Linked DNA regions of Coturnix japonica. The protein of the gene in region 3 interacts with the protein of the main gene of each other region in a biochemical or structural test. Links are inferred from orthologs where the notes say so. Each region holds a gene or a part of one and is shown on either strand. Other genes may lie near its edges.

Evidence for each region.
Region 1: the proteins of ESR1 (region 3) and MTA1 form a complex in vitro, tested with the Homo sapiens proteins (4 studies listed by BioGRID). The link is inferred for Coturnix japonica from reciprocal best matches to the Homo sapiens genes ESR1 and MTA1.
Region 2: the proteins of ESR1 (region 3) and TRIM24 form a complex in vitro, tested with the Homo sapiens proteins (4 studies listed by BioGRID). The link is inferred for Coturnix japonica from reciprocal best matches to the Homo sapiens genes ESR1 and TRIM24.

The regions. Positions count from the first base shown.
Region 1 is NC_029523.1:3,968,717-3,972,467, forward strand, and holds the start of MTA1 (metastasis-associated protein MTA1), read right to left. Parts: upstream 2,362-3,751; 5' UTR 2,115-2,361; coding exon 2,087-2,114; intron 1,610-2,086; exon of another isoform or gene 1,595-1,609; coding exon of another isoform or gene 1,576-1,594; intron 1-1,575. UniProt on the Homo sapiens protein: Transcriptional coregulator which can act as both a transcriptional corepressor and coactivator. Acts as a component of the histone deacetylase NuRD complex which participates in the remodeling of chromatin.
Region 2 is NC_029516.1:55,912,981-55,916,267, forward strand, and holds the end of TRIM24 (transcription intermediary factor 1-alpha), read left to right. Parts: intron 1-744; exon of another isoform or gene 745-826; intron 827-961; coding exon 962-1,111; intron 1,112-1,890; coding exon 1,891-2,100; 3' UTR 2,101-2,636; downstream 2,637-3,287. UniProt on the Homo sapiens protein: Transcriptional coactivator that interacts with numerous nuclear receptors and coactivators and modulates the transcription of target genes.
Region 3 is NC_029518.1:44,173,100-44,176,766, reverse strand, and holds the start of ESR1 (estrogen receptor 1), read right to left. Parts: upstream 2,868-3,667; coding exon 2,434-2,867; intron 1-2,433.

The DNA.
Region 1 (3,751 bases), on a different chromosome or scaffold from region 3:
GGGAAGTACACGAAGTGACCGTGTACAAATCAGCTGGGGATTTAATCCCGCCCTGGAACGCACACACAACTTCAGCACACAGCCACCAGCACCAGAGGTCAGCAGCAACCCAGCAACGCAACCTCTTGGCTCAGGACGGGGCCGCAGCACAGAAATGGCCACATCCATCCACACGTGGGGCTCGGCAGCACACCCAGCAAGGCTTCATCCACAAGAGCAACACCCGAGCACAGGAACTGGCCACCAGCCAGCGCCTCACCCTCTGCCTGCGGAGGTTGTGGAGCAAAGCCCGGACACCATTCCCAAGCACACAGGGGTGACCGACATCAGCCAAATGGCTACAGCAGGGGCTCAGCATGCCCTAGCAATGGGGCTCCCTGCAGAGATGAAGGCTGGCTGCACAGGGACGACCCTCAGCTGGCTGCCACTAAGAGAAGCCATGTGATCAACACGGGGCCACAGCCTTTCCCATCACCTTTCTAGTGATGGGAATGCACTCTGTGGACATGTGGGGAACTGTGAGAGACGTGGCACACACTGGAGGACAGGGCTGCTGTTTGAAGGAACTTCAACAGGCCGGGAAAAGGGATGCCAAGAGCCTCACTAAGTTCACCTAAGGCCAAGGGAACCCTGCACCTGGGGTGGGCAGCTGCAGGAGCACAGCAGGACTACGGAGCGGCTCTACAAAGACACCTGGAAAAACAACTGCCCAAGTGGCAGCATGCAGCCTCACAGCACAGCTGCCCAGCACCGCTCACCATGGCCTCAGCAGTGCAGCCAGAGAGAGGCCGGGTTCCGCCTGCTGCTGGGTACTGGCAACACACCAACACCACCCCAGCACAAGGATGGGTTCATTTGCTGTAAGTATGATCCAGCACCGGGATGGGCCCAGACCAAGGACACCATCCCAGCATCATCATCCGTAGCAATACCCCGGCTGGGCTGCACTTACCCATTGCTGTGCAATGAGCTGACTTGCAACAGCAAGCAGCCTATACATCTCCAGCACGGGCCCCTTCCCACTGCCTGTACAAGCCTACGGGGCACACAGTACAGGTACCATGCAAGATACACACCAGTACAGCACTCAGGACTCACATACACGATATTAAACACCAAACAGCGATTCCCTTTGCCATTCACACCAGCATCCCAGCCGTAAGTTCACAAGGCTCAACTCCATCCCTGTCCTCTGAGCACCACAACCCAACACACGGCTCCACACGCGCATCCATTGCCGGGGCAGCACAGGAAGCAGCGGCAGGCCGGCCCAGAGGCACAGCTCATCATCCATCTGTAAACCAACACCGCACCACACTGCCACAAAGGAGGCACGGAGTGAGGCCGGCCCAGAAAGGCAGACAGAACAGAAAGTAGCGAAGGATGGCGAGCAGCCGGGCAGGGCGGCTCGGACACCTCCGCTGTATTTTTTTCCCCTCCGTTTACTTTACTGCGTGTTTACTGCAGCCCATCACAAAGGGCTGCCCCGGAGCCCCACGGACGCGGGGAGAAGGAAGTTCCGCACAACATTTCTCGCAAAGGAAAATGGCTGAGCGCAAAGCCACGCCGGCCCACCCGGCTGTTGATACTCCATCACATCGCACGCCGGACCCCGCCGCCTCTCTCCTCTCCTCTCCTCTCCTCTCCTCTCCTCTCCTCGAGAGTTAAAACAAAGGACGAGCGGCCCATGGGCGCCGGGCCGGGATGGCACACGGGGAGAGGCCCGACCCACGGCCCGGCGGCCCCTGGCGGCCCCATCCCCGCGCAGCCGTTCCCGGGTGGGCCCCAACCTCCGCCCGCTCCACCCAGGGCCGCCCCCCGCGGCCCCTCGGTCTCCCCGCGCCGCCCCTTCACCCCGCTTCACCCCGCCGCCATCCTCACTCCCGACTTCCCCCCCGTCCTCCCCGCTCGGGCCCGGCCTCCCGCGCGGCCTCCATCCCCCCCCCAGGCCGCCCCCGCTCGCGGCCTACCCCCGCCGCCCCGCCCCGGGCCGGGCCTCGCCCCAACGCCGGATCCTCGGCCCGCCGGGCCCGCAGCGCCGCCCGCACGCGGCCGGGCCGGTCCTCGGTCCGGGGGCAGCGCCTACCTCCCACCCGGTACATGTTGGCGGCCATGCCCGGGACGGGTGCGGGGCGCGGGCCGCTCCCGCCGCCTCCTCCTCCTTCTCCTTCTCCTCCTCCAGGTGCCGGATCCGCTGGAAAATGGAGGCTGAAACGGCCGGGCGGGGGAGGGGAGCGGGGGGAATTAAAGGGGCCGCGCCGGCTGCCGCCCGGCCGCTCCAGGAAGGCGGGAGGGCGGCGGGAGGAAGGCGGGGCGGCGGCGGGACGGGAGCGAAGGGAGGGAGGGAGGGAAGGAGAGAGGGAGGGAAGGAGAGAGGGAGGGAAGGAAGGAGGGAGGGAGGGAAGGAGAGAGGGAGGGAAGGAAGGAAGGAAGGAGGCGGCCGGCACGGAGCGCAGCGTGGGGCGGAGAGCGCCGCGCCCGGCCTGGGGGAGCCCAGCGGCGACGGGCGGAGCGACGGGCTTCACGCTCAGCACCGCGTGTCCTCGCGTGCTGCCAGCCACAAGGGAGGACAACGAGCCGCAATACGCACCTACAGCCCGCACCGCCCAGCCCTTAGCAGCTCACCCCTGCCCTCTCGCCAGGCTCGGTTCCCCCCGCTCCCACCCCTGTATCCATCCCCCTGTGCCGGCTGTGACACCCAGCGGCTCCTCCTGCCAAACAGCCCCTGCTGACAGATGACTCCAGGGACGGGGATGTGCTTTCATGTCCAGTTTTATTAGTGTTGCATTAGTACCATAAAATAGTTGACGAGGTCGAGCACGTTGCAGTTTGTTCAAAAAAAAAAAAAAAACCAAAAAAATAAACCAACAAAAAAAACCCAAAACAAAACAAAAAACAACCAAGAAAGGCTATTTACATTTGAACTTTCGTCATAAAAATAAAAAGAAACAACCGAGAACCCAAACAAGACGACAATGAAACAGATGGACAACTCGGGAGTCTACAAAGTGGTAACGCGCCCTCGAGTGCTGCGGGCCGGGCAGGGCTGTTAGCACAGCACACAGCATCCATGGCAGCACAGCGCTTCCCCATTGCCCCGCAGTGCTGCAGAGCAGTGCTATTCCCTATGGAAACCAAGGACCCGCTGGTTGGGGACAGAAGCATCGCACCCACTGTTGCTCCAGGACCCCCCACCTCTGCACACCCAGCAGCAGCCATCAGCTCAGCCCCTCTCTACAGGGTCTTCCCTTCGAGCTTTGAGCCACAACGTGCAATGCCCCAATCCTGGCTCTGTGCTGCTCCCTCCGTGCCTGTTGCTGGTGGGAAAGGACCAGGTGGGGCCTTCCTGTGTGAGCTGCTTCCCGCTGGCACGGGCAGCAGGTGACCAATCCACAGAGCTGGGGACGAGCCTTTATCTCCAGAAACCCAAAGGACCAACAAGCACAAGGTGCAGCACGACACCACAAAACCCATCTCATCTGCTCACCAGCACAGTCAAACCAGGTCAGTGCCACAAGGAGCCCTCATCTCCAAGCAAGGTGGGAGCCCTTCTCCCAGCAGCGTTACTGTCTCCCTCCGGTGTAACCCGGTGAATTGGGGTGTACAAAGTTACACCAAGACACAAACCAACACGAAACACACCCAGCGCTCCTTTCACACGTACACACACACACACATAGAGCAGGGCAATGTACACGTGGACTGGCAGGACCCAGCAATCCTGCACCAGCTACTGCCCCTCTCTTTACAG
Region 2 (3,287 bases), on a different chromosome or scaffold from region 3:
CAGGTTGGATGATCTTAGAGTTCCCTTTTCAGCCCAGGCCATTCTAAGATTCTATGGAAGATGAAGCACTGGGTGGGAAGGAAGTTATGTGCAGAATTTCCCAAGAGCTGAATTTGAGAAATACTTCAAAAATAGACACAGAAAGTAAATTTAACACTGTCCGAGTGTTGTCACTAAAAAATGAACTGGGAGACATATTTATTTCTAAAAAAAAATACCCAGTTTTGAAGACTGGAGTCCTGCTTAGTACAACCATGAAACAGAATTTTGTATTATTAGGTGCAAGTTTATGAATTTAAAATGCTAAAAACAACTCGAGTTCATCAGGCAGTGGAAGAAAAAAGCAATCTGTAGTCCAAGGATGTACAGAAGTGCTCCTAGTGTAGTCCAGTGAACAGTGCCTCTATGTCCCTTGAAACATGTCAGTGGAAAAAGATTTCATCAATAAGTAATAATGCCCCTATGCATCCTTCTTATTCCATTTGAGTAAGAAAGTACATCTGAAATGCCAAAATAATTGATCTCTGTAGTTTACCACCATTTCTAAGGATATATTTCATCTCTGAACGTCACTTTAAGCAATACATTTACTGCATCTGAATGGGTTGCCAGAGTTGTTATATGGCAGTCTTGAGGGTGAGACTTAATAGATGGTTCACCTGATGTACAATGTCAGCATCATTTACTTTATTCCATGTAGTAAATGCAGTTGGCTTTATTAGTTATTTTGCTTTTCTTTTAAAGGAGGTGTTTGGAGAGGTGTATGTATTTTAGCCAGTAAAACTAGCGTGCATCACTGTTACTCCAGTAACCCTATTTGTAAAAGGTACAGTTTTTAGATGTTAGAGTTGTATTTCAAAAGGTGAGGCTAAATTTTCCCCTCTCCCTCAGATTTAAAGGTCTGAAAAACAACATGCAATGAACGTGACTGCATGTGGTAACATTTTTCATCTTTGTTTAGGTTCCCGATTACTACAAAATAATCAAAAAGCCTATGGACTTGTCAACCATCAAGAAGAGACTCCAAGTGACTGATTCATTCTACACAAAGCCAGAAGATTTTGTGGCTGACTTCAGACTGATTTTCCAAAACTGTGCTGAATTTAATGAGGTTAGAGAAGTAGACACTTCATCTGTTCTTGTAGGCTTAAATACTTTCAGAAGAACTAAGTGGGGGTAGAGTTTACTTATTTAATTAGACTTACATTGATGATAAGAGCCCAGTGAAAACGTAGATCACCTTTGAGAGTACATCAATATTAGATGAGTATGCAATTGAGATCCTTCTATTGAAGGGAGGAGAGCTGTAACAAACATGCAAACCGAAATAGCAGGGAAACAGGTAGGGAGAAGAATGGCTGTTCATCATATATGTTAATGGTGAACATTTGATTGAAAACTTGGTTTAATCCTCATTGTATTATATCTCAAATTCAGTGGAGTTTTCTTTCTGAAGTCTTACCCTTATTTGTGCTAGGAACTGAGTGGGCAAAAAGGGAGAGAATTGACAATGGAAATTAGATTTCTCTAAGTGTCTTCAGTTGGATTCTCCTTCGGGTCAGTCACTGGGAATACTTAATGCTATGGTGACACCCACTTCAGGAAACAGGTCAGCCATGGTGTGCATAAATGATTTCAGGGCTGCCTGGTCTTCTGAGATGTAGTCATTGTCCATGGTAGTAATATTTTTGCCATAATTAGAGGTAGGTCTGCATCCCAGAAAAATGTCAGCATTTCATGCAGTTGTTCTCTTAGCAGCCTTGAGATGTACTTATATATATTCTTAATGCTATTTGATTTTTGTAGCTTGTAAGAGCACCCGAAGGATATAATGTGTTTTAAGTATGAAGCTATTTCATGATGAACTGATGTTGTTAATTCACCCAACAGCCTGATTCAGAAGTGGCTGACGCTGGCATGAAACTTGAAGCGTACTTTGAAGAACTACTGAAGAGCCTTTATCCTGGGAGGAAGTTCCCTGTACAATCTAACTGCCAGAGTGAAAAAGATAATCCAGAACTTAGTGATGACTCAGATGATGACATCGTACAGCCTCGGAAAAAACGCCTCAAAGGAGAAGACCGACAGTTGCTTAAATGAGACGCATGTGGAACGTTTTTTAAAAACAAAGGATATTTATCACTGTCAATTGTCAAAAGGAGAAGAGTCCTGACTGCTTTGACCTGGAGGTCTGTGGATATCTACTGGACTTTCTGCCCCCTGTCTGAAACACAATTCCAGGGGAGATCCAGAGCATGCAGAGAGCTTCCTTGAAGTTCCAAACTTGCAGCATACTTCTGGAACAGCACAGAAACTGTGATTTGTATGGGATGACAGCTGTTTAACTTTACTTTGAAGTTTGTATAGAATTGAACTTTAAAATGTTACATGGGTTCAACATATGGTTTTCTGAGTTTGAAGAAAATGTGATCTCACCAGACATTTAATTTTACCAAAGGCATGTGGCTGGCCATGATTTGGTTTCTTTGTACTGTATTTAACACAAGCCATGAAAACAGATGTTGTAATATTGTTGTCCTACAATGCTGACTGATGCAATGAAAGTGTAGTTGCCCCTAAAGAAGTTATTGGTTAATTTTAAAATGTGAGGGAGAGTGTATTAAAAATAACTTAAAGAAACAAAAGGAATTTGAGAGTTTTTAATATTGGAAGGAAAAACACGGGGCTTCGTTTTTTACCATTTTCCCTCAGCCAGAAAGAAACAATGGTATTCCTATACAATATGTTGTTTAAAAGGTGCCTCACACGTTTGACGTACTTCTGTTTAATGGAGTTAAATATTAGAAGGAATATCTCAAGGGCAAGAACGTTTGCTTGCAACTATCAAGCTTTTTGGTAAGCTTGGGGGGAAAGAAAAGTGTCTTTTCTGTCTACAAGATCTTGTTGTTTTTCCAGTTTTCTAAATATTATTGTGGGAATGCAGCCAGTGTTAAATAAACAAGTGTAAAGGAGGGGGAGGGTTTTAGAAAAAAGAGATCCTGTTCCTTGACCCTTCTGTCCTTGTTAAAATCAACAGAAACCGAAGACAAATGGTGTTGGAATTTTCTTTTTCTCCTGCTTTCCAGAAGTGCTGATAACAATGTAGATGGTTGTTTCTGCATTCAGCAATTGCAGGTTTAAAGTTCTTCTCTATGAGAGCCGTGGCTGTTGGTTTATACTCTTCACGTATGTCATCTTAAATGAAAACTGTCTTATTTAGGAAGAGCAGGCAATCTCTTGGATTTATTGAGCTCTGATTTGTGCAAGAGTTTTGCAGATGGAATTAT
Region 3 (3,667 bases):
GAGACTCTGGTTATATTACTTATTATCACAGCAAGAAAGCGATCATAAACTGATCATGATAGAATTTAAATTTTTGTATGGCTTTGGTTTTAGTTTTTTACGCCTTTACCACTCATACTAGTATGTTACATCAGAAATTCATCATTTTGTTACTTAGACATCTTCAAATCTCCAAAATCTATGTGTTTGTTGCCAGATTACACTGCCTTATGTTCTCTTTTGAATTCAGGTGGGATTGGAACAGACAAATGAATAAAGCAAATTGGAAAATAATGCACTAAAATTTTTGAAAGAACTTGCTCTTGTACCTCATGATTAGATAATGAGATGTCTCCCAGACACCGAACACCTATTTAGAATATTTCTAGCATACTATTTATAACTGGTATACAAGAATAAGAACCTAACATTTAATTTTGTCAATATGACAACTTCCCAAATATGGTCTTTGTGAAATTTTTAAACAGCAAAGCTTTGTCTATTTAATCCTAACAGTACTATGCCTCGTAACAGACGATAATCATGGGGAGGACTTTGTTCCACATTTCCTATTACCATGTCAAATGTGCAATACAGAATCAAGGCCAGAAGAGGCCATTAAATCAGTCTTGTAACTCTGTATTCGGATAAACCACCTGCACAACCAAGATCATACATTCACCTAATTTCCACTGCTTTAAGCCTCATATATTATATACATCTAAAATGCATCTTGAAAGGACATGCCTATCCTTGACTGAAAACATCAGGACAATGGGAATACACCGCTGCCCTTTAATGCTTGTTGCAGTGCCTGAATGTTACTACTACAATGTATGCCATTTTTATTTTGAAGTGTCCCACCTCCGCTCACTGTTAGAAAATAAAATAATGCCATTTCCACAGTTCAGTTTTCATTTCCAACTGATTCTTGGTTTTTCTCCCTCCTCAAGTAAAAAGCCCTCACTTTAGCCCATTTCCTGCATGTGCATTTCAGCTTCACAAACTCACTGTTCAGCTGTTTACACACCACATGTCCCTTAAACGCTTTCTAACAGAGTTTTGCCCTGGATAATCATATTGAAAAATAAAAAAAAAATAAAAATAAAAATAAAATAAAAACAACATGGAATCTAGTGCAAAACACACTTTCACACCCACATCACTGTTAAACAATCCAGATACTCAATGTTCAAGTACATTAATTCCTCCTAGAGTTATTGCCTTCAGTTGCTCTAAAATACATTTTGTCTGAATCAGTTCAGCTAAGAGACATATTAGTTGGGCTGCCTGGCCTAACCGTTATCTTTTCACTTGTCTTTATTCCACTTGATCCCCAAAACCGATTAATCATTTGCAAAAAGTGCAATCACCATCTGTTTTTTTGGATCAGATTCTGCTACAAGATTATCTCAGGTTGCGTGACACTGTGTTTAATAACCTACATTGCTGTTCCCAGCAACAGTTAAGTCTGGCCTCGACAGGGAAAGGATAACCTGGTTTTATTTTTAGAGGGTCTCTCCATTTGTATAAAAATCACCTGTATTTCACAAATAAGCTGACATGGACAGCATTTAGGAGCTAACCGTTCACTTTAATTTGCTATAGTCCATTATTATATGCCAGTAAAAAATTAAGCTATTAACAGTGCACAAAGATTAACAATGTGAGTACTGGTGTGTTTGATTATATTTTCCTGGAAGCTACAGTTCTATCAGTTTCTCACACATATGTCAGAAATTAAGTATATGCTTTCACAATTTCCAGTGCGTATTAAAATTCTTCTATTGAAGGATAAATATAAATTTAAAAAGAAATCATATTTAAATTTATAAAAATTATTTTGAAATGCAGCATGCTAGATTTATGCTTAATATATATCAAAGTTTGATTAAAAATGCAAGGCACATAGCTCTTATTGCAGCTCATTAAAGTGGTTGCTGACTGAAATACTGTCATTGAATCAGTTCAAACAGTTTGATTTGGAAGGATATTGTGCCTGTGAACTACTTCCTATATAAGTCACTTATCCTGTAAAGGATACCAGAGGTAAGTAATACTCTTACTAGCAGCTAAGAGCTGAACAAACAGCCAATTGCACATTTTCAGTATGCTTCTAGACAGTAATTTTAATATACTGCAACAAGGAGATTGTTTGCCACTCCTTAATCAATTATGATTTCATGTTTTCCCAGGAAACATTTACACTCATTATCTAATTTGTTTCCCATTTACTTACAGTTTTCATTATTTACAGATCACAGGCACAGTAAGCTGTGAGTTACAGTTTTGTTTTATCCTCTGCTATTTTTATGGTCCCGATATCATGGAAGATTCCACAAGATTACACAGTCCTTTACACAAAAATGAAAGTGTAGGGCAGACATATTTCAATATTCTGATTTCTCAGCATAGCTGCTTAAAGAAGAAAGAGAAATTCTCTGTTGCACTTACCTGTAGAAGGCTGGAGGAGCAGTTTCCCTCATCCCGAAGCTGCCCTGTTCGTTTTCAAGGTAGTAGGGTACCTGCTGGCTGTGGTGATGGATGAAGGGTGAGAGCTGGGGTGCCGTTTGCAAGAACACCACTGGGCTTGGTGGGACATTGTTCAGAGAGTGAAATCCTGCCAGGCTGCTGGACCCAAAAGATTCAGAAGTAGGGGCATAACTGAGTGTAGTAGAGCCGTACACTGGAGCGGTAGTACCAAAATCGTAGGTGGCCCCTTCTGGGTAGTTAAAAACTCCTGTCTTGTTGCTTTCCACGTACATGTCGCTGAGCGATCGTTCCAGGGGAATCTTCAGCTGAGGTCTGCTCAGAGTCTCCAGTTCAGTGCCTTGAATCTGGTGCAGCAGGGTAACTCCAGAGGCTTTGGTGTGAAGGGTCATGGTCATTGCTAATGGCAGGGAGCAAGGAACATATCTGCTTTTACTGTCAACAGCAAGATCGGCAGCTGGCAGTCCACCTAAAAAAAACACCAGAACCTATTCTGAGGCTCAGCAGAAATCATGTTAAAGCAGCACTACACAGGTATTCCTCTGATCTCGGCGAGGAGGAGTATACAAACAAATGCAGGGTGAGCACTGGAAAGGCACATTCTCCCTCTCCCTCTAACTTTTGAGAACTCCTCATCTGCTCTAATATGCGTTACAAGGTGCTGGCTGCAAGCCAGGGGCTCTTGCCTTGTGCCGACGCTGATTTAAACATCACTTCAGAAACAATTAGTTTTGGAGGTACACCAAACAATTGTCCCACTAAATGTTACTTTATTCTTGCTAGTCATTTAATTTTTCACTGCAGGGCAGCCAGCACTCCACAGCAGCTAACGGGAAAGGACGCTGAAATCAGACCAGAAAGACTAGTCCAGTGGTCAGCCAGATTACTGCCTTTTATTTCCTCAGCAGGCTCCAATCTATCTGTGCTTATCTCTCCCTGTTTGATTCATTTTCATGTTTGCTAGAAATATGTAATGTGTACATTGTAATGACCCTGGATAGGACTATGCTGTAACTGAGATATGGCAAAGCAAAATGCATGTGCAAGCGCATGCATCTGTGTGTGTAACAAGTCTCTGTCAACAAAACTAGCTAACAGAAATTAAAGAATGTAAAAGATTTGTGTAGGACAAAAGGTTTATAACAAGCTTTATCAGTAACAGTGACCCAAACTAGTGAAGTGAAAATTTACATTAAAA